Linked DNA regions of Struthio camelus. The protein of the gene in region 1 purifies or fractionates together with the protein of each later gene. This does not show direct contact. Links are inferred from orthologs where the notes say so. Each region holds a gene or a part of one and is shown on either strand. Other genes may lie near its edges. The genes, in order: RIMS1 and ERC2.

What was found.
Region 2: the proteins of RIMS1 (region 1) and ERC2 purify together in Homo sapiens (affinity purification with western blotting; 3 studies listed by BioGRID and IntAct, with this or other methods). This does not show direct contact. The link is inferred for Struthio camelus from reciprocal best matches to the Homo sapiens genes RIMS1 and ERC2.

The regions. Positions count from the first base shown.
Region 1 is NC_090944.1:41,557,806-41,574,050, forward strand, and holds the start of RIMS1 (regulating synaptic membrane exocytosis protein 1), read left to right. Parts: upstream 1-9,036; 5' UTR 9,037-9,317; coding exon 9,318-9,481; intron 9,482-16,245. UniProt on the Homo sapiens protein: Rab effector involved in exocytosis. May act as scaffold protein that regulates neurotransmitter release at the active zone.
Region 2 is NC_090955.1:15,815,077-15,832,069, reverse strand, and holds the start of ERC2 (ERC protein 2), read right to left. Parts: upstream 7,279-16,993; 5' UTR 7,181-7,278; intron 6,477-7,180; 5' UTR 6,299-6,476; intron 1-6,298. UniProt on the Homo sapiens protein: Thought to be involved in the organization of the cytomatrix at the nerve terminals active zone (CAZ) which regulates neurotransmitter release. Seems to act together with BSN. May recruit liprin-alpha proteins to the CAZ.

The DNA.
Region 1 (16,245 bases):
ACTCACTCTTTGTGGTGACTCAGCGTGGCAACTAAGGGAAGACTAAGGGAAGTAATTACTCAGACTGTTCAGTTTGATTACAAAAGCACCCTAGGACGAGGAAGGCAGATGAATGGTTATAGCACTGGAATGGGATGTAGCCTTTTCCTATTTCCTCCTCGTTTCCAGTGATTCGCTTGATGACTTGATTAAAGTCACTTATTCCATCTGTGCCTCAGTTTCCCCAATTATAAAAATGGTACAGCTTGCTGAGAACCCAAATAACTTCTATGTGTTTTTTTTCTTTTTTTCTTTTTAGGGGTACTAAATTTGAATTTAAAAAAATATATTTTCAAAACAAAAATTCCCCAAAATGTTGATTTGGGATGATCATAGCTTTCTTTTTGATACCTTTACTTTAATTAATAAGATTGTCCTTCTTATATTAAAGTATTTAACTCAAATATAATATCTATCTCACATTTTTTCATTAGCTGTTGCTATTTTAATAATTTAGCATAATACAAATGTTCAAACAAAATGAATCAAAACATTATCAAAATAAAGAAATCTGACACCACCGAAACAAAGCATTTTCATTTTTCTCCATGTAAACCATGCAGTAGATAGTGACACACTACTAAAGAATATTTTCATTTTGATGAACCTGCATTTCAAAAATCATGGTTTCAACACAGGTATTGGTTTTATGACATCTGGTTGTTCTCACATCTCAGCTCACATCTTCCTTTTTCACAGGTAATAATTATCTTTCTGTCTGTCTTTCCCTGTTTCCTCCTCTGCTCCACAAATGCACCACTCCTCTTACCAACATCCTCTCTAGTCCATATATTTCAAGCGCTCTTTTTTCTCAAGTTGTCCAGCTGATTAAAATAAAGTTAAATTCAGAGCAACTGTTCCCAGGCTGTTCTTAGCTTCAATTTTGCTGCTCTTTTGGACTTAAAAGGGGCTTGCGTGCCTGAAAGGTTGTTCATCTTTTCTGACTATAGTTATTGGATAACTAAAGATAATATTCTAAAGCTTTGCCTCACTATTTTTAAAGGCAAAACATTCCATCAAAATTCTTGTGCCTGTTCTAGTAGTAATACTGATTTCCTTTTAAAGTACTTCACAATTTATGGATAAATAGAGATGTACAAGAACTGAATACCACTATTATTATTACATAGGCTGTAAATAGACCCTAGGACAGAACTTGCTATAGTTCATACTCCATTACAGAAACAGCCCTGCAGAATGACAGTCTTTCCCCCATCACTACAATCTGCTCTCCTGCTGCTTCCTTATAGCCTGTCTGGGGAATCAGGTGTTTACTGCCAATTAGGCTTGATAAAACAGCAGGACTTTCTCGGACTCTCTTGACAAGAGTATTTCTGGGCTTCCGACAGCTGTTGTAGGGCTTTTGGCTACATGGACAGCATTAGACTGCAATGTACCAGGCACCCTGCTCATTTAGTGATTTAGACCATTTAAATCTTACCTTTACTGCACTCTCTGCTGCAGTCATAATGTAAAATAATGGTGAGATACTTTAATTGGCAGAGAACAGATTCAAAAACTCATATATCACAATGTAGATTACATATTTATTATATTTGTAGGCTACTTTACTAATGATATTAAAGCTGTTCAGCAAAACAACTGAAGCAACAATAAAATTCTTATTCCAAAAGATATGGGCTTCAATTATAGAAAATGTTGCATTACTTACTTACTGAATCATCGCTTTTTCGACTGCCAGATTGCTGACTAAGAGTATTGGGCTTCAGTTTCCACCGTCTGAGCCATAGCACTTCTCAGTCTTTCTGGCAGCTCTTAAAAAAAATATTACAAACTTAAGTCTCTTCTACGCAACTGGCCTTATGTGGAGTTCTCCTGAACTGAACGGGGCTGAACGTGATGCAGAATTTGCCTGCGTTATCAGCTTTAGACAATAGGTCTAGAAGATAAAGAAGAGTAGAAGATACCCTTTTTTGGGGTCAGTTCTGTCCTTATTGTGCTTCTTTGTAGTTAAAAGGAGACAAAATGCTAACTGATCTTCGCAGTTTGGAAAATGATGCTGCACTTTAAACCTTGTTAGTATTTCTGGGATTAAAAAAATAACATATAAAACGCATATGGAAAGTAGCCACGCTGAAATAAGAATCAGTTCATAACAGATTCAAATCAGACACAAGTTTGCAAATGCACTATTGCACCTAAAAGGGTGTATGAATTGGAGCTGCACATATAGAAGCATCATGTCATGGAGGAGGAAGGTGACAGTTCCTGTTTCTGCAATTTTGGCAAGCTGCACCTGAATGACGGGATGATTTTCTGGAAACTGCCATGCCAGAAATACAACAGGAGGGAACTGAGAAGAGCAAAGGGAATAATTAGAGACCTATGGGGGTGGGGAGAGGCTTTTTAGTCTAATTTTTAAGGAAACAAAGCTATGCAATCACAATGTTCTTCTGTCAGTTCTCCAGCAATACATTTGAATCTCTTGACCAATTTCAGATAATCAGGTTTTATGAAAATCAGCAGCCAGATAAGGGAAACTCAGACTTACGCAGCTACCAAAGGACAAGCGGAAGTGTGAATTTAGCCATGTTCTTTGACACTAGAGGATCCAAAGCTGTCATCCAAAACCATGCTCCATAAGGTTTTCTGCTGATGGATCTGCTTTTTCTGATCTTTTTTCCTTTTTTTTTCATATTTAAAACAAGATCAAGACTTCTGGCAGTATTTTTAAGACACTCATCACTGCAGTGTGTAGTCATTTATTATAAATTAAGGCATAATAACACATCCTGTCCAGAATAGACCCTGAAATCCTTACCTGCAACAACCTCCCTTTGTTACAGCGGTTGTTGGCTGCCTTGAAAAGAACTATTTTCATTTTTTCTCATACTAGAGCTAGCCATGACCTTCTTTCCTCACTTAAAATATTGCAGTACGACCAAACTTTAAGAAGTGAAAAATCATGAGTCAGATCCCAATACAAAAAACTGCTCTTGAAAATCATGAGATGTTGATGAAAAGGAGATTTTGCTATGATTTTGGTCTGTCTTTGGAGCTTTTAAATTCCTTTGACTCCTTTTTGAGTGCGAGAGAAGTCACAGCGCCCCACATTTACAAAGCTATTGTGAGAAATGACTTTGATCCCTTGATACTACAGGATATCTCCCCCTTCATGTCTGCCCTTCAAATATCACAGCCCCCAAACTGACTGACAAACTGACTCCTCCACAGCTTTCACTACCCCCAGTCTCCCACAAGTTTGACAAAAAACACCACTTGTTTAGAGAAGGAACTTACAGAAAAACCCTCTGACTTGTCTGTTTCCCTTTCCTCTCTTCAGTCTGCCTCCCACAAGAAAATAGACAATCATGGCTGCTCACAGCCGGACTAATGAAAAGAGCTTGAAAAGGAAGTAGGAGTGCAATTGAGAAATTCAGACTATGACCTTCGGATAGCCTGAAAGGAAGATAGGGGGAGGAGGAAAGTTCCTAAGGCTGAAAGGTCTGGAACCATAAAGGGAGGATGCGTCTGCCATGTATGGGGCATATGTGGATACTTGGTGTGAATTGAGAAGAACAGATTAAAAGTTTATGAATGAATGGCAGTGAATGAGATATGATGCAGTGTGATCAAAGATGTACGTATAACAAAAATTTGCTTATACTGGATGCTTGGAGTTGTGAAAAATCAAAGGAGATATATTTTTAGGGGTATGAGCTAATATTGTATGAAGGTATGGTGGAGGGGTGAGTCTTGTAGATATACCAAGTACACAGCGAGATGTAAGTGGTAAGGGCAGGAGCAGAAACGGGGCTGTTGGCAGTAAGGAAAGGTGCACCAGAAGGTGGTTGGAACGGATAAGTGGTGAAGTGCTTGTGGGTATTTTGAGAACAGGGAAGGAGACTAGGAAGCATCAGTGAAGAAAGAAGGAACCAATGAGAAAGGAATACAGATATGAAAGACTTTGATTATTGTACCCAAACCATTCTTCAGCTAAAGTTCACATTTCAGAAGAATAAGATTATTAAGCTATGATAGGTATTTATAAATAAGAAATTATAAGATGCAAAATAAGGACATTTCAGTGGTAGTACTTTCAAAAATAATTTGTACACAGCATGGGTGCTTCTTTTTACAAGCAAAGATGGCTGAAATCGTTGAAAATCTTATGAGAGTCCTGTTACAAAGGACAGTCATATTGTCATTTTGTCATATGGACAAAATATTCTCCAATATTTTGGGTAGGTGATTTTGATTTCTCAAGAAAAGAAAGATTCCTAAAATGTAACACTTCCTTAATTTCCATTAATGCTTTTGCATAAATCAATAGACTTATGGGCTACTTACTTTGAAGATCTCTGAAAACTAAAGTTTAAAAAGTTTAGAGGAGCTCTTGACCTATCAAGTAAACTCAATGAAGCCTGGGTTCCAAAGGATTTTGCATAAACTATGCCCATTATGAAACCATTGACTCTCTTGCTCTTTGGAGTCATCGTTAGAAACTACTACTAGCTTCTGTTGTAGTTAAGTAGGTTTCAGCTAAAAATAGTAGTACATTCAGTTTGTTCACTCAGAAGTTATGGAACAGTGGATGCAAAACAGGTATCGTGAATTTAAAGAATTATTCATGCTGTAACTCTCCACCCGGGCTCTTTTATTAAATATTGAGTACCCTTGTGAAATTTAGCTTAACCTATTTACAAAGTAGTCTAACTTGCATAGTCATTCTTCTCCTCAATAAGAGTTTGGTGAGTAGTCCAAATTTATTCTCTAGGTTGCCATAGAATCACAGAATGGTTGAGGTTGGAAGGCACCTTTAAAGCTCAACTAGTCAAACACCTCTGCTTAAGCAGGGTCATCTAAAGCAGGTTGCCCAGGACCCTGTCCAGATGGCTTTTGAATATCTCCAAAGAAGGAGAATCCACAACCTCTCTGGACAACCTGTTCCACTGCTCAGTCACCGTCACAATAATGAAGTTTTTCCTTGGATTCAGACGGAATTTTCTGTGTTTCAGTTTGCGCCTGTTGCCTCTCATCCTATCACTGGGCACCACTGAAAAGCGTCTGGTCTCATCTTTCCATCCTCCCTCTAGATATTTATACACATTGATTAGATCCCCCCTGAGATTTCTCCTCTCCAGGCTGAACAATCCAGCTTTCTCGGCCTTTCCTCATAGGAGAGACACTCCAGTCCCTTCATTATCTCAGTAGCCCTTCACTGCACTCGCTGCACATCTCTCTTTTACTGGAGAGTCCAGAACTGGACCCAGAATTCCAGGTGTGGCCTCATCACGTCTGAGTAGAGGGGAAGGGTCACCTCCCTTGACCTGATGCCAATGCTCTTCCTAATGTAGCCCAGGAGACCATTGGCCTTCTTGGCCACAGGAGTACTCTGTTAGCTCATGCTCAGCTTGTCCACCAGGACTCCCAGGTCCTTCTCTGCACAGCTACTTTCCAGCAGGTCAGCCCCCAGCCTGTGCAGTACTGGTGCATGGGGTTATTCTTCCCCAGGGGCAGTACCCAGCATTTCCCCTTGTTGAATTTCATGTGAAGTTCCTCTCTGTCCACCTCTCCAGCCCTGTCCAGGTCCCTCTGAATGGCAGCACAGCCCTCTGGTGTATCAGCCACTCCTCCCAGTTTGGTGTTATCAGCAAGTTGCTGTAGAGGCACTCTGGGCCTTCATCCAGGCCATTGAACAAGACTGGACCCATGGAGTACACCACTAGCTGCAAGCCTCCTACTAGACTTTGTGCCATCAACTTCATAGCATAATGAAACTCAACATTCTCAAACACTTAGAAAGTCAGTTTCATTTCTTGACAACTAAGGCTGAACTTGTTAGTGAAACACAAATATATATTATACATTTTAGTAATTCAGAGGATTTTAATTTAGGGAACATTTTTAGTTGAGAAACATTACAATTAGAGGCGAACAATTAAATGAACAGCAGAAGACTATTACTTTTGTTTAGTCGGAACCAGCATAAATGTGGGTTTTTCATCACAAATTCCATTCCAGTGATTGGTTTCTCAAGACAGCAAAGTTTAAGAAAGTAATTTACTTGATATGTTACAACAGTTGTACTCATATTCCATTTCTAGATTTCACAGCTGTCTTCCCCAGATAGGACTTCAAAGAAATGCCCATCAGTTAATAATAGAATGCCCTTCAGTGACAAGACTTTAGATGTTACCAAACGGGGGGCATTCTTACTAGCCAGGAATGAAATGCTCTTCAAGGCTCTCATGTATCATTTCAGCTTCAGGATATAACATATTGAACTAGATCGGGCTTTCCATGCATCTTTGGCTGGATATCAATGCCAGATATTTCATCTTTACAAAGCAGATGTAGGCAAGTCAGAAAATGATCAGTGGAGGTTTGAAATACTTAGAACATGAATCGAGTCTCCTAATGTAGCCTTATGAAAAATGAGAGAATTTTTGTGGCTTCTTTTGTGTTTTTCTCTAGAAAATTCTACTCTCTGTGCAAAAATATAAGATAATGTAAAATCATTTGTTATGCCTAAGACATTTTCTGTAGTATGATTTTATTCACAATATCAACTTGGTGCAAGACCATATTCCAGCTTCCATCTTTACTTTTCCTACCACTAGTCTGCAAAAGCTTTCATTTTTAAGTTATAAGAAACTTTATGTAAAGTCTCCTCACACTCTTTGAACTTATTTGGTAGTTCACATGTAGCAATAAGAATTTGTGTGCCTGTCCCAGCACATAGCAATTAATGAAGTAATACAGCACAGATTTACATGACTGTGTTGTGTCAGTAGCTAATAAGAAAAAAGGTGAGTAGGATAACTTACACACTTAACTAGATGATGTTACATTTTCTTTATAAAATTGTCATGGAGACATTTGGATCGTATAGTGTTAGGCCTTCAATATTTTGTCTGGGTGAGCCTTAAAGCATTGCCTCTCAAACTTTGGCCGCTGCTTCAGCTAATTAGTTCTTGCAGTAACTTGAGCTACATCTTCTATGACATGTGCAGGCTTAAATTATGTGAAGGAGTCTGGACTATCTGTTAATATCTATAACAACATAATTATTACATCTAGTATTACTATTCCAATCATTTCATGTTTTAGTTTTTTCAAATACTAAAGATACTCTGATATCTCACCTTCTTTTTTCTTCTTCTTTTCTGTCTTGCTTCCTTCAGTTTCAAGTAGAGTTAGCTGCTGTACTTTTTGCTTGTTGCTAATGAATGGAAAATTATTTAGCCTCATTCTCTTAACAGAAAGGTTACCTTCCCTTGCGGTCACAGACGGTAGAAAGTGATGTTATTGATATATTAACATTTGGCTAGGAGGACTACACCTAGCAGTGATAATGTAGCTGGGCCCTGGGACAAATTACCACTCAGATTAGTGGAGGGTCTGTGTCTTCAGCTGACCATGACATCATGATATTTACCACCCCTTCATAATGCTTTGCTTATTAACACCACTTTAATCTGTTCTGAGCTGTCTGTTGATCATTCAAGTTTCAGTTTCCATCATGCGCTGGAATAGTTGAGAGACTTCACTTTCTGAGCAGGATGAAAGCGACTGAACTTGGACAGTATCAGTGAAAGTTTTCATGATCACAGTACTGCTTAGTGCTTTTTCTTTTTCATTTATATTACCAGCTTGTTTCCTGCAGGAAATCTCTTGGGGGGACACAAGCAGATGGCGAGAGTAATTCCTCTCAAATTCAAAGGGTCATGAAGACTCATCGCCCTCAGAATTTGTGCAAGAGTTTATTAGTGTGGCTGGCTGAAAGCTGGTCCCTCTCCCTATTCCAAACCCAGTGAGTTTGGCAGCAAGAAGCACTGAGCGCTGCCAGCATAGATTTTTTTCCTTTGGTTATTGCCCATGAGATGATCTCTCTAGAAGCTAGAGCTGTTTCCATGCTGTGACCTCGTCAGAAGCGTGACAGAGAGGTCTGAAGTGTCAGCATGTGTTAGTAGTAGCTCACCTTCTATATGAAAGTGGAGTTTTCTCTGCTTCTCAGCTTTTCACTTTTCAGTAGCCTGAATGATTTCATTCACTGATATGCATGCATTCGAATAGGGGACCCTTCAGAGCTATAAGCATGAGTTTTGGCCAGTGGATTACATGCAGATAATCTCTTGTAGAGAAGGGCTGTTGTGTTAACTACCAGCTCCCTCAAATCAAGGTGTGAGCTAGTAAATCAGAAATCAATAGGGAAGCTGTCCAGAAGTGAAGTTTTGTTTTCTTGTGTGCTGGAACAGTTTGGACTATGGCATGTTTCATGGCAAGTTTTGGTGGGTCCCAGCAGGGAAAACATGGGACGTGACAGAGATATGGGTATAGCTGAGAGCGCTCACCACCCGCAGAGAAGTGTGGAGAGGAACAGCTGAAGCTCGTGGGTCCCCTGTTACCCTGCGTAAGGAGCTCATAAGGCAAGTGGAGGCAAAGCTTGAACGGAGGAGCCTGAGGAAGGGGTGGTTGGGTGGACAACGTGGTGTCTCAAGGTAAGGGGGCTGGGCGAGCATGGCTGAGGGGCTAGGGAGTGACAGCTCCCATGGCACCTGGGCAGAGCAGGGAGCCCAGGCCCCCTCGGCTGCCTTAGGCCACCCCGCAGAAAGCCTGCGGCACAGCTCCTCGGCGGCTGCCCAGAGCCCGACGGTGGCCGCTGAAAGCGAGGCAGCAGTCCCGCTGGGCGCTCTGGCAAGAAGCCCGCAGGGGGGACGTCAGGAGAAAGGCAGTGCCAGGGCCAGCTCCGCGGGCGTGCGGCCGCGGGGCGAGCGAGGGGCACCCCGGGCGGAGAGGCGCGGGCAGCCGGCGCTGCCGCCTGAGAGGCGGCGGCGGCGGCGGAGCGCCTCGGACTCCGCCTCACCGGCACCAACCCCCGCTCCCTCCTCCTCCTCCTCCTCCCAGCTCCGAGCTCGCAGCGGCGGAGCACTTCGGCGGCGGCAGCACCCGCCCTTCGCGGCCGGCCCGCGGCGCACACCGCCCCCCCTCCGCCCCGCACGCAGCCCTCCGCGCCGCGGCGCCCCCCGCCCCGCACGCCCCCCGCCAGGAGGATGGGCTGCGGGCGGCGGCGCGGCAGCCCCCCAGCTCCCTGAAGCCGCGGAAACAAAGGGAGGAAGCAGCAGCAGCAGCAGCCGGGCTGGGTTTGGATGCAAGCGACCATGAAAGGCTGGGTCTCCGCCTCCTCCGCTGCTGCCAGAGAGCTGCCGGCTGCTGCTGCTGCTCGGAGGACTACACTGTGAGGGGAGGCGGGGGAGAGGCTGGATTGGTTTGCCTTGCCAAGGTAGAAGGTGTAAGGGAGAGGCAGAAATAAAATGTCTTCTTCGGTGGGGCCCCGCGGCCCTCGCCCACCCACGGTGCCCCCCCCGATGCAGGAGCTGCCCGACCTGAGCCACCTGACAGAGGAGGAGAGGAACATTATTATGGCAGTGATGGACCGGCAGAAAGAAGAGGAAGAGAAAGAAGAGGCCATGCTCAAGTAAGCAGACGCCAGTCATTCATTCATTCAGTCACTCATTCATGCGCCGATTGCTGGCGGGCGGGAGCGGGCGCTGCCACAGCGGCAGCAGGACGGTGCCCGGGGCCGGCTTCGCCCTGCTCCGGGCCGCCCTGCAGGGACCCCTCAGCGGGGCTGGCGCTGCAGAGCCCCAGTCCTCCTCCGCCCCCGACCCGTAACTTCCTTCTCCCCAGTTGTCCTCCCGCACCGCGGGAGGCAGAGCTGCCTGGGGAGCCCGGCGCCGCGGGACGGACAGGGACGGCGGCCCTGCCCGCCCCAGGGGAGCGCCCGGCGGAGGGCGGAAGCCCCCACACGGGGGTGAGGGGCGAGGTGGGATTCCTTGGGGGTCCCCACGGCGCCGCCCCTTCCAGGAGGGACTGCTGGGTGGGGTTTCCCCTGCTCACGGGAGCCTCCGAAACTGCCGTGCTGCCCCCACCTGGCTCGGCCTCGGCTCCCTCCGTCCGCGAGGGGCGGGAGGCCGGGGGGGGAGGGGGGAAGGTTGTCGGCGGCTGCCCCCAACGGCCGCCGCGCCCCAACGGCCGCCCCGCCCGCGCCCCAACGGCCGCCCCGCCCGCGCCCCCAACCGCCGCCCCTGCCGCCAACCGCCGCCCCTCCGCGGGGCCGCGCCGCCGGCTCCCAGGCGGGCAGGGGCTGCGCGGCAGCTCGCTGTGGAGACAACAAGGCGTTTATAATTAGAAAACAAATGTAATTAGTCGCACTGCTCACGGCAGAGGGGAAGTGTGCGTGCGTGCGTGCTTGTGGGACGGAGGGGAATTGGGTTTATCACGCTCCGGGCTGCACAGGCAGGGGCGTGGGGAGCTCGGGGTGTTGGTAGATGCCATATTTGGAAACCAGGACCTTACAGCCTCTATTGAACCTTTCCTCTCTCTTTTTTCCCCCCCTTTCCTTGCCAAAAACAATGCATGTGACCACGTTGCCTAGCCTCCTCCATCAATAGGAGGCTTCAAACCTAACGTTACTGAGTTGCCTGCTGTGAGTGATGAGAATAAGCAGATTGAAACTGTGGCCTGTGGAGGAGAATCAGATTTTCTCCTCTTCTGGCTACCCTTCAGGCCTATTCACTTTGTGAGGGAAACGGTAGAATAGGTAAATGGAATACACACAACCCTTTTTGTTACCTACAGTCTCTTTACCATCTAAGGTGTATCCTTATCTCATTGTCTTCTGTCCGCATATGTATGGGTTTGGAAGGGACCTTCGGAAGGCGTGACATGGTCTGGGGATTTCTTTGGCCGCATCAGAAATAAGCGCTTGGCAGACGTGGGTTCCAGCTCTTCCCGGCGGCTGCCTCTAACCAACAGAGATACCAAATCCCTGCAGGCTCCTAACTTCCGTGCCATGTATTGCAAGTGGTGAAGCTGGGAGTTTATAGTCATTCATTATATTGCTGTCTCTGTCCTTTCTCATCGGTGCCTGGATATGAATCTCCACAGGGGCTACTGGTGCTGATCGCAAAGGTGTATGCGGAGGTCCAGTTGCTCGTGCTGCATATCGCCTAGGACTGGGACTGAGGCAGGGAATGTGGTGTCTGGATCTTGGTCCAAGAGGAAGAGTTCATTTCGCTGTCTGATGCGCTTGGGGTGTGGTTAATCTTTGAGGTGCAATGATTGAGCGAATAAATATTTTGTGAAAATGTATTGTATTAGTCAATAGGAGGAAACATAAGTGAGGGATGCCTCTTTAGTTTTTATTTATGAGAAGAAGATGAAAGGGAGAAATAGTTCAAAGGCTCTAAGCTGCGTTTATCCTCCTCCCATTCCTTGTCCTCTGCTACAGCTACTTCTCTATAAATATTTACCTTTTATTCAGTGAAGAAGATTACTGATTCTATGATGATGTTGTAGAGCAATACTAATAAATCCTGTAGTCACTACTAGAAGGGACTTTTGTCAGCCGAGATGGTAATTTTCGGCCCCGTTCTTGCTAACATGAAATAGGGGATAAATTTTCCTCCTCTTTTTTTCTTCTGCTCTTGGTTCATGTAGTCATTTTTGAGTTCTGGAATGATACTTTGTTGCTTCTGTAGGATTCTGGGAGTCCTCAGCAGTTTCACTAAAAGAATGTGGGAGACTTCTTAAAAATAATTTTTAGAAGAGGTCAAAAATTGCTGCTTGTTAAATTACTACTGCTTGAAATTACTTTATATTGTGTTTAAAGGTTTATGATACCTGACGTTAAAAGTTTATTTCCTAAAACAGTTGTTTTAATTTGCGAGAATAACAGTTTAGGTTCTCCCTCAGTCTGAGAGATTGTGATTCTAAAGACCTTTTTTTTCTTTAAATAAAGAGCCAGAAATTCATTGAAAATATACTGAAAAGCTTATGAACCTGTTTACCAGCTTTAGTTATATCATTGATTTACAAAAATTAGGTCATAGCAAATAGTTTTCATGTAGATTATGATTTTGAATGTTCATGGAGCCGCTATATTTCTAAAATCGTTTGCCTTTCCTATATGCCTAGCATTTACCCCTTTCCTCAAACAAGAGCTATACACGTCTTTCCCTTATAGATTGGATTTTGAGGCAAGAATTTACTTCCATAATTTTGTGGAGGCATGCTACAAATACGCAATGGTGCTATCCAGATGACACAGCTATATTATAAAGTCATATACCATTACTGTCCCTTCCTATTATATTCAGTAAAAGTTGTTCTGATTTTCCAAATGTCTCAACAAAACAGCCACCAGTTTTCATTTAAAACCACCTGGCAGAGAAATGCTTCCTTCTGTAACGCCCACATACAAATCTGGAATGTCCCCTGAAAGTAAGGCTGATCTGTGTTGCAAACTAGGCTACTTCCAGTCCTGGACCAATGAGAGGTCTAATACCAGGTGCCTCATGAGTCATAAGGACTAAAAAGGGTAGAGCATTTCTGTCCTGTTCTGGATGTCCTGATAGTTAGCAATAAAAGTTTCTGAAACAGTATTTATAATTTTCCTTTTCAGGGTTCCTCATAGTGAAAACTGTAGGAACAGTTGCTAGTTAAATTACAGTATTCTTCACATGATGATCATAATATTGCGGATCCAAGGGAATGAATTTGAGGTGTTTCTGTGAGTAAGTTGCATGGATTTCAGGAGATGTGAAAGAGGTTAGGGTCATCAGTGATGAGGCTGAGTCCCTCTCCATCATGTCTGTACCTCTCTGGCTTCCTGAGCCCTGTTTCTGACCGTGAGCTAAAAGCATTCCTGTAAAACCTCTCTGTCAGTTCATGCTGACATCAGCACATACCGCAGCGTGCCAGCCTGGGAGCTGCTACAGGGAACAGGACTAGGGACAACATAATGCTTTCTCTGCTTGTTCTGGAGAATTATAAAAAGGTATCCTTCTATTTGAAACCTTGTTTGCCCATCTTGCTTCAGAAACTTGCCCTGTCAGTTTACTGGCCTGCCGAGTTTCCGGCTAAAGGAGCTTGCCGTGCCCTTAGGATAAAGGCATTCAACTTGTACTGGCCAGTGTGACTTTAATTCCCCCTCCCCCCAAGGTATTCCTGAGCAGTGACAGAGACCTTGTCTTCCTCTGACCCTTTCAATATCAGATTTCAGACTGCCCTGTTTGGTGTTTGTGGAAGAGAAATATTCTGTTATCCTCTTACCTGTTGAATACCTTGGAGCAATGTGTTTGAAGACTTCTGTGAAGGTTCTTCCTTTTGCTTTTTTAAGAGCAGCCGCATCTTGCCATGAGGAACATTTCAATGTTAGCCGATTCCCTTGAAGTCACCTTTACCTCCAAAGAACAGGTTTTGCCTTCTGCTCTAAGAGAGTCAATGTCACTATAGGTACTCTGGAGAGCATATCCATGCCTTGATGCAAAGAAGTGCAGCTCCAGTTTGGTGTCGGGTACTGAAGACTCAAATCCACATAAGCACTGTGATGCCTACCTGGCACTTAGTAAAAATTGAGGCAGCTTGGGTGCAGTCCACAAAAATCTTTCCTCAGTAAGACACCTGAGAAGCCAGGTATTCCTGTGTGTCCAGGGCCCGTAGCTCCAGAACATGTGCAGGTGCATGAGTGGCTTGGCTGCAGTGGGTTGCTTGACTTGCTATCTGTCTTGTGCCTTTGCCTGTTTGGGAGTCACAAACTACAGTAATATGCTTAAGTCTTCTGAAAGACCTGATGCTAATACAGCACACGTCTTACGCATGTTGATACTCGACTCAACACTGAACTCAACTCAAAACATCGGTGTTAAAGCGGTGGCCCCTTTCCTAACATGTAGGCAATATTACTGCTTCTGACTACTTTAGGTCTAATAGCCTGGTAGTTAGGAAGTGGTTATCTAAGCCTAATGCACTTCTCAGCCTCAGAGATTGTGTCTTGAGAAGTATTATTAAGTTATAAGTTAGTGGAGACGGTTTAGCTCCCCGTACAGAGCAGAATGAAAAGTTTATGGGCCCAGGAGCCTAACTCAACAGCAAGCCCAAATAGAGCTCTCCCCTGCAAGGGGATACATGCTTTTGTTAGCCAGGGCTGTTAATTCAGCCTTTATTAAAGAGTCGTTTGATTAAAATGCAGAAAGCTCGGGGACTAGGAGGCAGTTCATCCTCCCTCGCAGCTGAAGGATCTTGTCTCTGGTCTTCAGAGCTACCTCCTTGTTCTTGTGTGGTCTCGAGAACTTCACCTTTGCGCATGCCACAGCAGGCACTGGAGAGTAGTCTGTTGAGGAGGTGTGGCTTTACCACAGTAGACTTGGCTCTCGCCCATTTTTGCTTTCCTGTTTCATGCCAACCGTGCTGGATTTTGTGGGTATCTCTGGAGACGGTAGTCTCTACTCCTCTGGAGATGGTAGTCTCTGCTCTCTTATATGGAGGTTGGCGTTCTAGATGCCTAAGTTTCCACTGCTCTTGTATGAACAACTGTTTGTATAGCCCAGTGGTAGAACGTGCCATGGCCTCCTCTGCAGACTAGCTCACATAGGAGGCCTTTGTCCTGTTCTACATGGTAGGTACTCCTGTAGGTGAAAGGGAAGAGGTTTGTATTGAGTGGCTGATGTGACTAGGCTGAAGTGCAGATGTTGACCTACAGGTGATTGTGGGGATGCTTGAGGAGGAAAGTTTTCAGTGAGGCTGAAGAGAAAAAACAAGCAATTTTTTTGCAAAAATGCAAAAACACTTTAAGAAAGATTTTGAATGTTTTGAATATACATTCAAACACTAAGCCTGCAACAACTATATTGTTTGTTTGTGGTCGTAAGGTGCTTTGAAGTGAAATACCCTCTGTTAATCTGCCATAAATTTCCAACATAGACAAATCACAGAACTATATGCATTTATATGTATGTATTTAAGCTGAAGTTTGCTTATAAGTAGTTGTGTGCATTATATCATATGAATTAGTTAAGTATTATGTGCAAAATACAGCATCTATTAGCACTGCTAGTTGAGTTCCAGTTCTGTTCTACTGGGGACTCTCATGTCCCAACAAGGCACCATACACTGGGACAGTCAAAGTTTGCTTTTCTCCACTGCTTATGGAACAGTAGTTGATCAAGAAGGGAACAGCTATAAATCACCCTTGGATAAATTTTGACCAGAAATTAGAAGGAGGTTTCTAATTATCAGGGCAGTCATTTTCTGGAGCAAATTTTAAGTGGGGAGAAAAGCTCGTACTACTCCTGTGATGGGATTTAACCAGGTTGTTAAAGAGATTGTTTGCCTTGTATTGGCAGTAGCAGGAAACTGAACTCACAGACACAGGGGGAGTCCCTTCTAGTTTTGTAATCCTAGCTGAATTGCTTCACTAGAGAAGCCAACAGGTGCTCATAGCCTTCCCAGACCTTAACACAGTTGTTTGAAGAGTTGCCAAGGGAATGGCAATTGATAATTAGGGAGGAGGTGATCCTAACACCCTGTTTTGACCATTTAGTGTGGTGCACAAATCTGAACTTAGAATTCAGGTTTCTAGACCAACGGAGATACTGGAGCCACTTACTTTTCAGGGCTGCCAAATCCTGAAGTCACTTAATGTTTGATGAGAATGTGTGTTTATGGTGAAAGATCTCAAGATATCCCCTATAATTTCCTGTGTGCACTCAGAAGTTTTCAGTCAGAACTGCTAGGTACACAACTCTCTGAATATGAACAGATTGGCAAGGAGGCACCTGTTTCTGACCAGTTTCCTGGAGGCAGTTTGTTTCCCTCTCTACTTCTAACACTCGGACTATGCTTAACACTGGCAGAAAACAGTGAATTCTGCTCAAAACATAGTGGCAGCTGCTGCCACCCTTGTGTTTTGAACAGTAATCGGTCAGAAGAAAAATAAGGAACAACCTTCCTAACCTAAATGGCGTAAACCCACTGGTGCTAATTCCCCTTTCATAAACACTGGGGAAGGGAGAGAGAGGATCGTTCTCAATCTCTTCTCTTGAAACTGGGCCACTATAGAGAAAGAATGTGGGAGTCATGGAGCCTTCATGAGGAAGCATGTCATTATCCTATCCTTAGGTAAAGGATCTAAAGCCTATCCTTTAATCCCACTGAGACGACGAAAGAGGAATCAAGGTTTCTAGGAACAGCTTGTGCGTTTTGCATTAAGGAATTAAAGGATAAAATACATAAATAATACCCAAGACACTCTCTGAGTCAGGCTGCCTCTTGCTTATTTTTCCATAGTTCCATGAATCTCACTTTCCTTTTTGTGCAATGGCACAGGAGGAATGGAGGATATCCTCACCTCTGTTGCTTGAAAGCCTTTTTAGTTTTTTTTAAAGGGGTTTGGAACCA
Region 2 (16,993 bases), on another chromosome or scaffold:
CTGCCAATACATAGCCATCAAAAATAGACATGCTTTACACAGCAAACTGTCTTCCGAAGAAGCATCTGAGAATACCCATTTCTTAAATTATTATTTGACATTGGTCATCAAAAAGAACAATTATGCTTTACCATGTTATGTTTGTATGCTAACCCAAGATGTTCAAAGAACAGAAGTGACAAAAAATATGGTATTTTAACAACAGAATACATTTTGAGAGAAAGAATACATTAGAGAAAATTCTTTAAGTCAAAGTTCACAAGGTTATAAAAATATAGACCCTATGCTTTTTTATAAAAATATTATAGGATTCATTATGTATATGTTCTATGCAATGTTTGAAATATCACATATATCTTAGCAGATTACCTGTAAATTAGTTTTACTGACCATGAAAAGCGCTGAGTTAACACTACTGGAAACAAAAGCAGCATCAGTGCAACCTCCAACAAGATTTAACTTGTATTTGCAAGGAGGAACTAACTCCTGGAAACTACAGTACTGTGGTCTCCAAATCCATTCAATTTATTATGTTTTTGATGAGACAATCAAATCAGATGCCAAATAGTCGCAGTTGTGAGTCTGGACACAGTAAATCTCCATTAGGAATCAGAATGAAATCACCGAAGTACATTCTGTTAGCCTCTCAAAGCCAATAGAACAGTATGGCCAATAAGTCAACATTCAACCCAAGGAATCTGAACAATTTACTTGGAGACAAAATGCTCCACATACATGCTCTACGCAGTGTGATCTGTTGGACTAAATTCAGGAGTGGCAAAGATTTCTCTCGTATTTCTTTCACTTTCTTAGAAACAAAATGCATGCTATATCCAGCTAGCCAGTCATTAGTCTGTGTTTATAGTACATTCCTTTCTCTAGTGACTTCCTGCCTCAACTCCAGTTATCTCAGCAACTATAATGCATTCCATTTTCACATGCACCTTTACAATTTATCTTTCACTTATATTTTTGCTCCTTTCACCTTTTCATGGTATTTATTAAACGGGGGGGGGGGGGGGGGAGGGCTAATCAAAAGAGATTTGTTAATGATTTTTTAATTTTTAAAAATGTGATTTAACTCTAAAGCAAATCTTTCTAGTCATTTTTCTGCTAAAGTCATTCTTTTCTGATTTCTGTAGAAATTAGCTGCTAGATTCTACAGCTGCACTGTGACTTCTATCAGAGGGAAACCATATCAGTGAGTATGACAAGCAATGAAAAGTTTAAAATATATGCTAATAGCTATTGAAAGTGGGATTCTTAACAAAAATAAAGACACACGTTAGCTAGTTGGAAGCTTCATTTCCAGTAAACGGTGAATGTAAAAGTGAGTTTCTAAGCTAACCTTTTGATAGTCGAGAAATCTTATCTTCCTCTTTGAAAATCTGTTTTTAAAAGTTCTCAAAAAAAATTTAAGTATTGCTAGACATCCAAATGGCAGTTTCCCGCACATCCAGTCACAACATTTTTTGTTTAGCCTGGAGAAGAGAAGACTGAGAGGCGATCTCATCAATGCATACAAGTATCTGAAGGGAGGATGTCAAGAGGATGAGGCCAATCTCTTCTCCGTGGTGCCCAGCGACAGGACAATAGGCAACGGGCACAAACTGAACCACAGGAAGTTCCATCTGAACATGAGGAAAAACTTTACTGTGAGGGTGACGGAGCACTGGAACAGGTTGCCCAGAGAGGTTGCTGGAGTTATTCAAAACCAGCCTGAACATGCTCAATGTGCTCTACATAACTCTGCTTGAGCAGGGAGGTTGGACTAGATGATCTACAGAAGTCCCTTCCAACCTCAACCATTCTGTGATTCTGTGACAACTTGAAACTCTGAGGTAGATGTTGGATTCTAAGCCCCATTCTACCTGCCATCCTAAAACAACAGAAATTCTGACACTACAGTTCTCCCCCATTATTCTTTTTGAGAATTAAAGAGATTTATAGTGATATTCAACTTTCCAAACATGTAAATTGTCTATCTCCAAGCCTACACTTGTAATATCAAGAAGGAATTTCAGATTTCCATGGACAAAAATGGTATGACAGTACTTCTTCACTACTGCTTTCGTCTTGTTCAGAACATAGCGCCTGGCAGACTATCTCTGAAAGGACGTGAGGTTGGTGTTCCTACCTAGTTGTTATAATTACTCCAAAACTAAACCTAGCTGTTTAAGACTTTCCAAAACTGGGCATTTTAGAAGCCAATATCACAAGTCTTTCTTGAGAAGAACGACCAAGAAAGTAGCATTGAAACTGAAATACTATGCAGGTTTTAATCTTCTCTCTAGAATCATAATTTCCCAAAAGCCTGTAGTCTGTCATATTTAAAAAATAATAAAAAAAAAAGCACAGAGCTGAAAAAATGAGGTTGAAGCCACTGTTAACTCAAGACAGATGTGTACCTTTTCCTATACAAGCAAACACTCCAGTATCTATAGTTATAACCATTTCTGGACCCCACAAACAGCCCACAACCATTCCCTGACAAAACCACGTATTTTTGTTACACCTTATGTATGGGCAGTGACAAGCCAACATAAATCCATTTCATTTTATTTCAAAAGGATTGTTTCTTAAAAATAAATTTTAAAAAAGCATTAGCCTACACTTATACAATAAAACAAAAAAAGGAACAGTTAAAAATCAAGTGCTGTGAATTGACTTTTCTGCTGATCTGTATTCTCATTTTCTTCGAAGTACCACCCAGAAGAAGCACTACCAAGTTCATTTAGAAATTTTTCTATCCATTTCCTAGGTTTCTCTTGATTACCTATGCCCCTCAAAAAGCAATCATAATCTCCTTTTGAGTTAGTAATTCCTGCCCTGTTACCAAGACTTTATAGAAAATAAAAATCTAGTATTAATGTTATGAAAAAAGTAAGTTGAGACAAACTCATCAGTGCTAAGTACACATATAGTCATCCAAAAACGACTACTTTCTTTGCAAAAATACATTAAAGTAATGCCAAAAATGAAAAAATATAGAGCCATAAATGAATTAGTAGGTGCACTACAAAAATTATTTCAATGTCCCAGTAATATTTCTTAGGTGAATGTGAACTATAAAATTAAATTAAGGAAAAAAAAAATCACTCTTTACCCCAAGCATCTTACAGTCTAAATTAAACTGAAAACATAACAAATGCATCACGATGGATAAAAATATAATACTGTAAGAGACATAGATGGGAGAGCATATGCTGTCTTTGAAAGTAATACACTGGCTGGTTGCCTCACCCTCACTGAGGGTGAAAAACCTACTCTTATTTTGTTAGTCATCCCTTAGAGGTCTGCAAGACTCATCTTTCTAAAGCAAGAAAATCACCCTGAACAATCTCTTTCAAACACGCACAGGCTGAATAGCTAGTTCTCTGAATACCAAGTTGATTTGGCATTCTAACCTGGCTGGGTGTGCTCACTTGATGTACTAAGAATATTGGTCTCCCCCTTCCATTGCCACCTTTCTACAGCCTTCAGAGCAGCAGGAGACAGGAGGGGCAACTGGCAGGAATAGCTATACTACCATTCATCAGAACTTTGACCCAGCATTTGAGTATCAGCAGGTTAGGGGAGCTGAAGGAGCAGAACCCACAGACCATGAGAGAAGGTGAGATGCGACTCCTCCGAAGGGAGCTTAAACACAACAGAAAGTGTCATATCTTAATAATAACAGATTCAAATACTGCCTGAAAGAAGGTAAAAGGAGACCTATGCTCAGGAAGACCAAAGACACACACAATTTCTATGGCAGGGAACTCCATTTTGCCCAGTAGGCTGGGAAAGGACAGAAGATGTCTCAGCACACCAACTTTCTCTTTGATTTGTGTGAAGAAGAGTAACTAAGAAACCACTACAATGGTACAAGACATATCTTAGTTCAAAACAGAAGACACTTGGTATCCATAAACCCATCTTTATAGTGGGGAGGAGGGGAAGTAATCACCGCCAATTAGAAAACCAAAGCATTTGATCTCAATGCCAGAGTGAGGAAGACAGTATCATCTTCCACTTTCAGGAAGAAATCATACCAACGTAGGTATCCCACCACCTGAGCAAGACTAAAGTAGGAGCTACTTAAAGACAACAGCAGCTGATTCTCCTCCAAACCTGTAAATATACAGGTTTGCAAATATACAGGTATGTAAATATACATTCTCCAACATAGAAACATCCTTTCAATCATCAGTACTACCTTTCAAAATCCTTACTCTGACTATTTTCTGAAGTCAGTATTTCACCATCTGTTCTCTCAAAAAAAAAAAAAAAAAAAAGCCACACACACAAAAAAAGCAAAAAAGCATTTCTGAGAGAATGACAGCAGCACAGTCCACACCCTCACTTTCTTTTTCACCAGCAAAACATTATCTCCTTCCCCTCGTAGTGGCAATTTATGTGGTGATAAAAGAAACTATTTCAAGGCATAATACCTTGAAAGTGAAACTAATGCTACAAAAAACAACAAATAAGAAACATCTCAGTTGTCAACTCCACAGTTTGGATACCCCAATTCAACCTGAGCTTATGAAGGACTATCATTCCCTTCACTCATAGGGCAGAAAATCTCTCCTACGAACTGCAGCAGAAACAATGGACGAAATCCTGAGGCTGCTAGGACAAACATACTGTCTCTCCTCTTCAAAAAGCGCTTAGGAAGTGAGAGCACCTTAATTTTTTTTTCCCCATCAATTTCCACTTGGAAAAGTGAAATAGCTAACTCACCTTGATGCCTTTTAAGACTGTTTTATAAATGGTTTCCAAAACCATTACAAAAAACCCAGTAGTGGAAAAGTTTCTCTAAAGCACTGATGGAATGTAAAAAGAGTAAGTTTCACACACCTTGCTGGAGGGTGAAGCCTTAACACAGTCACCCAAGACTTGCATTCAAGGTAGCTAGAGAAATGGTCAATGTATCTTTTCCCACAAAAACATACTATTTAAGGTGACTGAAGAAACTTGCCACTATACATCCCGTACATGCAAAAACAGAACCTGAAAAAAAAAAGCACATTTTCCCCATCATGTATGAGGAAAAGAAGAAATCTGAAAAGGCACTGCTCACGTGGGTGAGACAGTGAGGGGACAGGGCGGGGGCTATAAAAACTTCCACTCTTCTACAGGTTAGGCGTCGAGACCACCAGCTAGCACTACCAGAAAAGCGAGTTAGGAAACTGCCTGACCCGGTGAAGCAATCAAGGGGCACTCGAAAAGACGTTTTCACACTGTTGGAGTGGTGTGGGCACCACCACCACCACCTCCGCCGCTGCCGAGGCACGCCAGCGCGGGCAGCTGTGAGGAGGGGACCAGCGACCGTTGACGCCTGCGAGCGACCGTTAACACGCGCGAGGCGCCGCCGGCGCGCGCTGCCTCCGTTCTCCGGCAGCGAGACGAGCTCGGGCGTTCCGGCCCGCCCGCGCGGGAGGGGAGGGGCGGGGCGGGGAGGGGCGGCACCGCCCCGCCCCACCCCGCCCTGCAGCGGGTGCCAGAGAAAGCCCCGTCGCGCAGCTCGTTCCCTGCCTCGGGCGGCTGGTAGGACCGCGGGGGTCGATCCGCAGCGAGGTAGGGGGAGCTTCTCCCCGCGACCAGCTGTGGCGGCGGGAAGGGGGAGAGAGGATCGGATCTCTTCCCCTTAGGCGAATTCAAGGCTGTCTTCCCCCCCCCCCCCCCCCCCGCAGGGAGGCTGCTGCGGGGGTCGTTGACGCGGCGCGGGTGGACGCGGCGCTCTGCCACAGGCGTCGCCCGGCGGGAGCGGGGCGAGCGCGCAGGAATCCGCGGAGACGGTCGGTCTCCCTGCGAAGGAAAGGGGAGGTGGTGGTGGTGGTGGTGGGGGCAGCAGGGCAGCCCGAAGCCCCCGTGCCGCAAGAGGAGCGGCTGAATAAGCGCTGAGGAGTTCCCGGCTGCCGGAGGCGGGAGGGGAGCGTCAGCAGCGCCACAGCACCTGCGCCCCGAGCGGGGCGGCAAGGAGGGAAGGCGTCTGAAGGAGGATCTTTCCCGTCCTCTGCTTCACCACAGGGAAATGGAAATGCCGGCAGCCAAGACACTTGATGGAGGGGGGCACCTTCCCCTCTTCCCCGCCCTTCGCGGGGGGGGAGGGGGGCTGGGGACGGGCCTGGTCTCGGCGGCGCTGCCGGGAAGGGCGGGGGGGGGGGGGCCGAGGCGGCCGCCCTGGACCCGCACCCGGCGGTGGGGGAACGGGAATAGGAAGGGGGGGAGGAAACAAACAAACGAAAAAAATCCCAAACAAGCAAACGGTAAAGTGAAGCCACTGATTTAAAAAGCCAACCAGAAAACTAACCCTGACAAGTAGGATTTGCCCTCCTCTTGGCTGCACGTATTGGCCGCGCTTATTTGCAACGAGCTTGTATCTGCCGACGCGAGTGGCCGGTTGGTTTGTCCGTCAAAAGGGAAATATCAGTTCGCCGCTAAGGGAATAGATTCCCGTCCATCCATCACAAGGCTTAGCAGGTAGCCGCCTAGAAATCAATCATACACTAATAATAATAAAAAATAAGCCTTCTCCGTCACATTACTATTCTAGTGTTTCTAGCAAAATATATGTGTACGTTTGATTAATAGATGCATGGATTTTTATCATGTGCATCACTCCTGTGCTACCTAAAATGATCTTGAAAAACCACACACGTAGGATAATAAATGAGCAACCCCAGTAAGTATTCATTAATTATATAACTGCAAAATAATATCCTGCTAGTTTCTGGCTTCCCTTCCCCAGATACTAAAAGAGAACAGAAATCTCTTCCTCCTCCCCTCCCTGACACAGTTTTTTAAAACACCAGACATTATCCAATATTGAGGTATAAAGCTAGGAATTTTCAAAGCTCATCAATTCTGTTCTAGAAAACTTTAACAACAGCAGCAATATTTTTAAACACCGGGCACAAAAAATGAGAATCCTATCGCTGCTTTTAGGAGAAATTGCAAGAAAGGTATCTGGCTGACGATTCAGTAGGGAGAGGCACTCTGTTACCAGAATAAGATATGCACTTGGTCCCATTTATTGCAATATATTTATAAAGCAAGGTAAAAAGCTTCTTCTGCAATCTCATTTCCAATTTCAGCTACCAGACAGTTATAGAAAGCAATATATAACAATTTCCTTAATCACAATTAATTTATAGTAATGTGTTATGGCCATATTCTCGCGTAAGCTTCTCACCTTTCAAATCATTGCATCTGTCTCTTCGTCCTCACATGGATTTTACAACATCACGTTTAGCTGACATCTCATCTGCGCAGAGGAAGGCAGCAGCGCGGAGAGCTGGAGCACCCCAACACCTACGGAGAGAGGAAGAGCGGGGACCTGCTGCAATCGGGGGAGGCTCATGTGCTCCTGTCCCTCGTCTTTCTGTCCCTCAGTGAGTGTCCCTCAGCCAGCTGCGAGCCTGCCTGTCTGGGCTGCCAGTCCCTGACTCAACATTCCCAGCATTCCCGAGGAGCTGGGTTTTCATCCGCGCTGAGCGGCCTGCCGCCGGGGGCAGCAGCAAGCTCCCTGGCAGCAGGCACAGCAAGAGAGCTGTGACAGCAGCAGCACACGTACCACAAGCCTGTGGCTTTCTCAGAGTATTTGTCTCTGTCCGTTCTTTGCACACCCAAGGGTTCCATCCCCACCCAGCAAATGTCTGAAAGGAAAGCACGTTAGTCATTGTGCAGCAGCCTAAAAATACACCTATGTCTGCGTAAAACTGCCGAGGCTAAATTGCTTTCTCGGCTCTATTCATCAAAGGCTAAAAGCGCTCAAAGACAGATGCTTAAAAGCATCGTGTCTAAAATCGGTTACTGTGTGTGCATACACACGCACACGGGAGAAAGAAATCTAAATCTGTATTTTGGCCTAAGTGTCAAAGTAATTAAGGAGATGTCCAGATTTGTTTCTGGGTTAAAAAAAATTAGCAGAAAAAAGGAAAAGTGGAAGATTAGCTGCTATATGAAGCCTGAAAGCCTTTTTCATCAGAAAACTGCAAACTGCATTGAAGAATTGCTCCTGAGGTTTTATTTATTTAGTTCGATATTAAGGGGAATGAGGGAAACATTCCTAAAAAATACCACTGACTTCTCATCTTAAGGAATGCATTTCTTTCGTCTTCCATTTTTCCCTTCTCTCACTATTGTATTTTCTATGGGTTTACTTGCTGTTGATAACAAGATATTGTAGCTGATCAACCTCAATCCATAGCTTGAAGGCAACTTCATACCTTACCCTCTCCAGAATTTCACAAATATATTGTATCTGCTCTTTCTTAATGTCATTGTTGTGACACTTCTTAAGACATAACTTCCTATCTGTAGTTGCCTTATTGTAACCTGCATCTTACCTCCTATCTTGCCCACATATGTACCTATATGTACCACTATTGAGAATCACTGATTAGGGCAGCTTTTATGGATTTTCTGTTAGAAATTAGGTCAAATGAAATTGGTTTCAACCAAACAGGTTTAAAAATAACATAACCCCTTCATTGCTATAGTTGCATTATCCAACATCAATTGAAAGTGTTTGCTGTTGCAAATATGTATTTGTAGATGCAACTATTCAAAACAATGCTAGAATCCAAATCATAGTAATGATAATGGGTTTTATTTTGCTAGGAAAAGGATATATATCTATGTACCTCAACTATATTACAATATAGGGCAAGTATTTTTCTGTGTTCAAAGTAATGGGACAAACTGTGATCAAAATGCAAATTTTAATCACTTTTCAAAGCTGTGTATTTACTTGAAGAGATTTCTGTTAAAATAGTTACAAAAATATGGAAGTGATGGACAGAGAAAAACAGTTCCTGGAGACACTTGACAAGAAAGGACGTGGTTTTGTATACAAATAATTGACTTGATCTAAAAAGCAAGCAGGAAGTAGGGTTTTTTTCTGTACTTCAAAAGGTAGCAAGTCTGCATCTGTAAGAAAATGGATAAATGCTGTAAAATGTGGGTCACCTAGCAATGCTTCAAAGCGCAAGAAATGTCGATTTTCAAAAGTTTAATGCTTAATTTGGATTCAGTGTGCAAAAAGAATATCTTGCAGAGCTGTCTCAGTATTGCTAATACCAATTCTGTCTCAGTACTGTTAATGATGACAGGACTTCTGTTAAAAGTGGTGTCAGCTGCTGTCAGTTTTTTTTAAACAGCTTATCACAGTGTATACCTCATATAGATGCAGAGACAGGAAGATCAGGTTCTGCTTCATCTTTTTGTGACTCATTCACTGGCAAAGGTTATGGGCCTTGTGACAGCCGCCAAAAAAGGGGATCGTTCTGACAAAAGACCAGTAGCCTAAGAATCCCCTTTCCAAGGAATAATAATTGTGGGAAGATGCCACAGAGCTACCATAAGGTTGCAACAACATTGCAATGAATTAGGCTTGCTATCATTCAATAAAGTTTGTAGGAGAATTAATCATAGACCATCTTGGAGCAGTAGACCATCTGCAGACGGACTGTCAGTACTGCTAATGCCAAAGAAGAAAATATACCCATTATGGACAAGACCATTTGGTATAGGTATTTTTTTGCAAAAAAATATATTTTGCCAAATTGTGTTGGAAATAATTATTGGAAGAAATGTGCAATTCAAATAAAGGGAATGATCAGAATTTTACAGATGATCTATTTAGTGTATTAGAGAAACAATACGTACCCAAACAACCTCACAGCCACATACTCCAAACCCTTGAATAATACTTATTCCTTACATTCAAGACAATACTGGAATCCCAATCCAAAGGGCAGGGTAATAATGGTAATATATACTTGAGAAGACCTACTTTGCAAGTGATGAAAGCTCTCCTTTCAGTCGAATGGTGGAGCATTTGTGTTGTCACTGGTGTTGTGATGCAGGTGGATGCCATTAAGCATGAAAAGAAGAAAGCCAGGTCATGTGAGTAAACTAGCATTTTTTTAAAAATGTAAAAAGTTCTGATATATGATTAACAGACTTCATTTTTAGCCAATTGTTAGAGGGAAGCAGTCAGTTACAAAATTTGAACAAGTGTTTATAATATACATGTCATGTGGTGGTTTATCTATGGATTACACTTTTCAACAATTTCTACCTTACAGGCATAAACACATATTTTTGACTAGTGTGTATGATTTTTTTCCGTGAAAATCTTTCTATCTTCAAAATACAGCATATTAGTAATTCTTCATGAGTATATTATATATCAATACCTGCAAAGAGCCCATTGGAATTAATAACAAAATTCCTTTAGATTTAAATGAGAGTAAGTTAGACCCTAAACAAATAAAGTACAGAAGAAACACAAATTTTAAAGTCTGCTATGATTTTACTCAACCTATGCTATACTGATTTCAGAAACAGGGAAGTATAAAACATGTATAGTCTTCTTGCAATTTTTTGGTTCAGTTTTTCTAAGTATAAATAATTTAAATTAACATTAGAAAACACATATAATGCTACTGATAGTACTCAGTTCCTGTGCCTCCCATTACGCTTCCCAACTCTTCTTCCGTGTAGTAAAGACATTTCAGCAGCATCCAGCTTCCTTTCATATTTTGGTGAAGATGTACGCTGTTCAGAACTTCCTTTTTTGAAAACAGAAATACAAATAGAAACGGAGCTCAGTCGCTACTAATGCATAACTGAGAGCAAACAACCACAGGTGTGTGCTTTAAAAATTGAGAAAAACGCATTTTAGCTTTATTCCCTTGAATCTGACCCTGATGTTTTCATCTGTGCCTCCCTAGCGGCTGAGTTGCTTTCAGCTTTAATTTTCTATTACGGAAGCCAAGTCAGTAGCATGATATAGCAGTCTCCTTTACTTTTTAAATAAAAATTAAAAGTTAGAAGTGACTTGGAAAAAACAATTCTGGCATTACATAAATATCATGTATGAGAAACTGAATTGCTTTCTCCCAAAAATAATAGAGCATGAATAGAAACAATGTAAAGGTATGAAGACAGAAGCATGGGACCTTCTTAAGGAGAAATATATACGATGATCAGGAGGGTCTGTCCCTGCGTTATGATGGTAAAAAACAAAAGTCTGTAAGGTAATACTAGATTAGAATATTACTAAAAAATTTAATCAGTAATCCTGTTTACCCTATGTTGCAGTAAAGAGTAAAATAAATGCGAAGATAGGCTGCTTGATAAAATTTAACTCTATATTGCATTCATGAGCACTTTTAAAGTTAGTTATAATTGTCCAGTAGAACTTTCTATCACACAATACTACTGAGATAAATTGCTTTGATAATAGTCAAAGAAAGGGATGTAAGGGATTTATTTTGTGGAAAAGAAAATAAGTTATGATGGATGTTGGTCCTCTTCATTCATTTTAACAGCTGGTTCCCAGCAAAGATCAAATCAGCAAGTAACCTTCATAGCGCGAGTACTTTTCAGTTGGTAAGATCTGAAGAGAAGAAAATTTATGGAAGTGTGCAAGAAAAGAAGATATTTTCACGCAGGGTATACTCATATCTCTGGAAGAAAAGAAGAATAATCTGCATGATTTAAGCTGAAGGTTACAGAATAGATGTGGTGATCGGACTTGGGGTGATCGGACATGGGGTAAGCATGTGAACTGAAACCATTTTCCAGGATGAGGTCCTATTAGTGTAATCTATGGAGGTGTTTTAGTCTCAGTCAGTAATTCATAGGACAGCTCTATTTCCTCTTTATCAGCTCAGATACCTGCCTACAGATACCTGTTAAATTCAGTCATAAAATGGTTTCCACTGGAAGTTATTTCATTCTTTACTGTCCTTATGACAGATCACCAAAGTCTGCTGTCTTAGTTTTCAAAATCCTTAGTATAATTTATTTAATTTTATCTCAAAATGACACATGCTTTACAGAGCATGGGGAAAATGTTACTTAAGGTATACATGAAAGTTTAATACATTATTGTGGAATTCATTGTGGAATACATTACTGTGCAATTCAAAAAAGGAAAGTGGATGCTTTTTTGGCAATTGCATAATTAAAGCAATTTATTGTGCACTGCATTGCTAATCTAGTCAGGATAGAAATAAAGTTACCCTAGCATGTTTTCTTAGTTTCACTGTTGCAAATAGAGCAAAAGTAGCAAATTATTTTATAGTGAAAATATCCAGTTCATAGAACTCCTGCAGCTGCCACATCCCAAAATGCAGATATTAATAGGCTTTTCTATCAACTGTACAGTATGTCAGAGTCCTAAAAATATTTCTTGCAAAAATTCAAACTCAAGTGGCCCCTAACAACATCTAGTGAATCTAGTTTAAAAAAATCTTGAATTAGATTTAACATTTTAAGATCTAAAATTTTATCAATGGTACTTTTATTTAAATCTCGCTGCATCTGTTTTATGGGAACACAGTATTAGCCGCAATACAATATTGTACCCATCACGCTCAGTGACTATGCTAGTGCTGCTGCTTAACAAGCAGTGACTAGTGAGCCATAGGCTCCAGGTAATATTTTTATGTCAGTTTGGACACTATGAAGTTTAAATCCAACGGACATTTCAGTAAGCTTTTAAGTGCATACCTTATTCCTAGAAAGTAGGCCTAGATACAAGCAATTCTACTTAGAAGCATCAGCGCGAGGCACTTCATCTGAAGCACTCCTCAATACCCCAGTTTTATGAAGCTGAGAAGATCTCCTTCCCTACATGTGTTCTCAGCCGCTGCAGCTGACAGGTACAAACAAAATCAGGATTGTAGGGCAGTTCCCTCAAGCATGCTGTCTTTTCTCAGCAAAGCTACAGAACGGTTGTCCAGTAAGTGAACATTTTGCTTGAGAAACCTTCTTCTCTGGTTTTAAAGAGCTGGGTACTGAAGCCTGAGTCACTGCCATTATCACATTTACATGGTAGAAGGATTTGAACAGGAACTGAACTGCTTAAACTTGTTAGATCTTGCTCCTCAAGAGTAGTCCCAAAATGGAAGTCAAATTCCCATACTCAGTAGCTCCCCATTAGGTCAAATAAAGTAAAATAAACTGAAAAGAGTAAAAACTAACACCCTTGAATAAGCACTTCAAACCGAAAGTGAATACATATATAAAAGGTAGCAGAGGATCAAGCTAACAGTGAATCTGCAGATGCTTCACTACTCTAGTACTAGTTGTGGATTCTGATGAGGAACAGCATGTCCGACAGAGTACCAAGTCCAATATGCCTGATTATGGAAGGCCAATCCAGCTAACATTAAAGCTACTTATCAGTCAATAACTGACATTACAAAGAAGGCATGAGGCTCACAAAACTGTTGTAGAGCTCCCACGTTTGTAAGAGGAGGACTTGACAGTCTTGTATCTGTTATTCTGTATAGACATTTATGCTGAAGGGGATTTATAAAATTACTATTTTGAGATAGTAACATTTTATATATATTTCACATTACTTTATGGGCTTACACAAAGTACAAAGTCATGGGGAATTAAGTTCCATTTATCTAATATATTACTTTAGCCAATTTACAAATGTTTTTACAGGTGCATTTACACCTGTACTAGTATTTCTCCTTCATATTTTTGCATGAAAACATCAAAAAATACTCCAAAACCCAAGTTCCTCAGTGAAAAACTATGATGCAAAGGCTCAGGTTCTCTCAGTCTTCAGTTTTATTACAAAGTGGCAGAAATTTTAAGAAAATTTTCAAAATACTCTGAGCTATGCTTGGGTCTATAGCTAAAACATCAAGGTTTTTTCCTCCTTTCATGTTTTATAATTCTAGTTTGGGAATATTTTAAGCTATCCAACATTCTTTAATTTTAAATTTGTTTGTTATACATGGAGTTATGCTGTATAAAATACCATCCAGAGAACAACACAACAATGTTAGATTTCTACCAGTAGCAATACATTTTTGCCTCACATAGAACCTAAGACCAGATTTTAAGGAACCGTTATTTCTGTAATTGGACAGTTGTCTTACGCTCCATAATTTCCACTGAAGTATGTCTTAATTTCATTGTCTAATTCTCATATTATTGTACTGATAACTTTTAGAAAGGGATCTCTTACACTTAACAGCACTGGATTTCACACTTGTGATTTAGATTCTTGTAAGTGCTGTAATGTAGAAGAGCAAATGGTACGTGCCATTCTGAATACTTCATTTATGTTCTGATCTTTCAAAACTTAAGGAAAGTTTAATATAAGTTTGAAGGAACCTTTTATGTTGCTATAATTAAATATCAGTATTTCTATGATGATTGTCTATTACTCTGACCTGATGAAATATCAGGGCTTCTCCCACATTTGTTTAAAATTTGGCCACTGTTTGAGGATATGACTTCAAATGATTGTGTCAACTTATCTTACCAGTTCTGGAATTAAAGAGATAAAGGTCTTTTTCTGATTAACTTCTCATTTAGAACAAGCCCTGTAAGCTGCAGGTATAGTAGCACATTTAATTACCCCTCTCTGGCATCCAGACCAAATGGCGTAGAATGGTCTGGATTGATACTACTAAGCTCTCTAAGCTCCCAAAATAGGGTAGTCCCATGTAAATTGTCTATTGGGAACATACTCTAACCTACACTGACTTCCAAAATATGCTGAGAACGGGGAGAGAGGGAGCTGGTCTAGGCCAAAACACGATAGCTACTGTTCTATCAATTGAATAGTACCAAAAAATCAAGTTTCAGTGCCAAGAAGTGCGTCCTGACCTTGTTTAATTTACCAGCATAAACGTAACTTTAGATGAAATTCTTTCTTACTGTCCCATTGATTATGAAGGCATTCTTTTCCTCTTTCTCCAGAAGCATCTAATAAGAACATCCTCCTCTGTACCTGATACATCGCAACAAAAAAAAAAAGCCTATTTCAATACTGAGGGTTGCAGATGAAGCACCTTCCCTGGGTAATTTAGATATAGGGATCAACTCAGTATCACCTTTTTTGCATTGTTCCATTCTCAGTATTACATCCTATTCCACTAGTATATTTGTTGATTATCTTTCCTAGAATGAGTAATTTGTGATTTCAGTAATTGAGACACAACAATGTACTGTAATAGAAGTGTTTTTTAATGTATGTAAAAATAGTGGAAGTCTACATTAAATTGGACTTCCTGTGAGTTCTTTATCTCTTTATTAAGTTACATACTGAACTGATATAATATGAGCATATTTTGTTTACAGAACTGCTAGGTTATTATAGAAATGTTGTTAAAGCAGGTTATTGTGACACACACCACAGTGAAGATCACACAACAATGTAACCTGGAGAGACAAATCACTGCGTTTCTCTGCTTAAGCATGGACTTGAGTTAATCAGTGCCCGGGAGTATCATGGTGTTGATTTAGTAAGTGTTTTGTGCAACTACTATTGTGCAATCATAGTGCATAGTGCTAACAATAGATTAACGTTACAATTTGTGTTGGAAAAGAGAAAAAAGAGGGCTTGTAAGTTAAAAGAGGGAGAAATGTTTTCCAGTTGTCAGCTTGGCATAACATAAAATTTCCCTACAAATAGGTACAAAATGGCTGCTAAAGTACAGGAATTTCTCATCGTCAGTCTGGCACATCTATTTCTAGTAGATTGCAAATCTAAGCATATGCATTTTGTGAGCATAAGTATGCCTGAGGTGTGACTGTGCAATGAAGGAGAAGGTGGATCTCATAACATAGTTCTTTCAAATTGAAGTAATCCTCTTTCTTTGTTATCACTTAATAAAACATTGTTTAGAGAAAAAAATCCATATATGTGATGCTGCCTAATCTCCTTTGTCCATTTGTGGGCTTTCTGATTGTTCAATTGACTCTGTTGGAGGAGTCAATTAAAATCAAGGAAAAAAAGGGGGAAAAAAACCTTAAAGCATAGTGGAAATCACTAATAATTTTAATTCTTTCAGACCAATTCTGGTTATGTACTAAATATACCATAATAATGTTAATGTCCACATAATTTTTCTTCTTTAGCATATGGACTTAATTTTAGGAAGAAAACTTATTCCAAGATGCTGGAAAGTGACAGAAAGCTCAATAAATAGAAGGCAAAAATGAAGCCCGTAAACAGCTGTTGTTCTATCCTTCCCCCACCTTTAAGGTGGAAGAAACACGTACACTCCTGTCAATCCATTAGCATTTAGTGGTACAGTATTCCTTTGGCAGATATGAAAAAATGCAGGAGAAAAGCATCATCTCTGCTGAAGGGGTTAATATCAGTTAGAAAACAAAGGAAGCCACATAGAAGTGTTAAGGAGCAGATTCAGAACTTCCAGAAAAATCAGGGGTTAGAAACAAACAGAAGTACTAATACAAATTCTTTAGTGAGATTACCGGATAGACGAAGAAATATCTTTGCAAAATTTCTACAGGTTTATCGGCCACAGAGAAGATAAGAGAAAAGCAATGGAAAACCTCACAAACAGCTTAATTTTTGACATATTAAAACTGCTTTTGCTCCTTCAGGATGTAAAACACCGTACATATAAGTGAAACTATATTAAATGTTTACTAGATTTCTCATGTTGGGATAAAGGAGTAGTTTGCCATGCAATATTAGATTTATTCTGAAAACTTTAGGGCAATTGGAAAACAACTATGTATAGCAAAAGGCAGACAGGCAAACCATGTGTTACAGCAGTGGCAGCTACCGTGAAGGGGAGGTTAAATGCATTAATCACTGAAGTATAGCTCAATTTAAAAGATTTTTATAAGCCATGAAAGATCAGGCTACAATATGGAACATCAGTCCTTGATCTCTGAGCAGATTGTGATACACCAATGTTGTATGAGCACAGTATATTACCATTTTTAATATGAACGGAGGAGCCACAGTGATACTAGGATAAAGCAGGAGGTGGTAATTACAGCCAAAGTATTTTTAATAACCTTTTTCTGCTCCTTATTTATATGTACTTTGGATTTTCCAAGATATATTTTGATTTCCTGCTTTCCTTTATTTAATACCTTAAACAAGCAGTTTTGAAAAGGAATACAACTGAAAATGAGTAGAAATATTCTCCATCTCTAACAATTGGTCTAAGAAAAGGTATTACCTCTCTCCACAAACCTT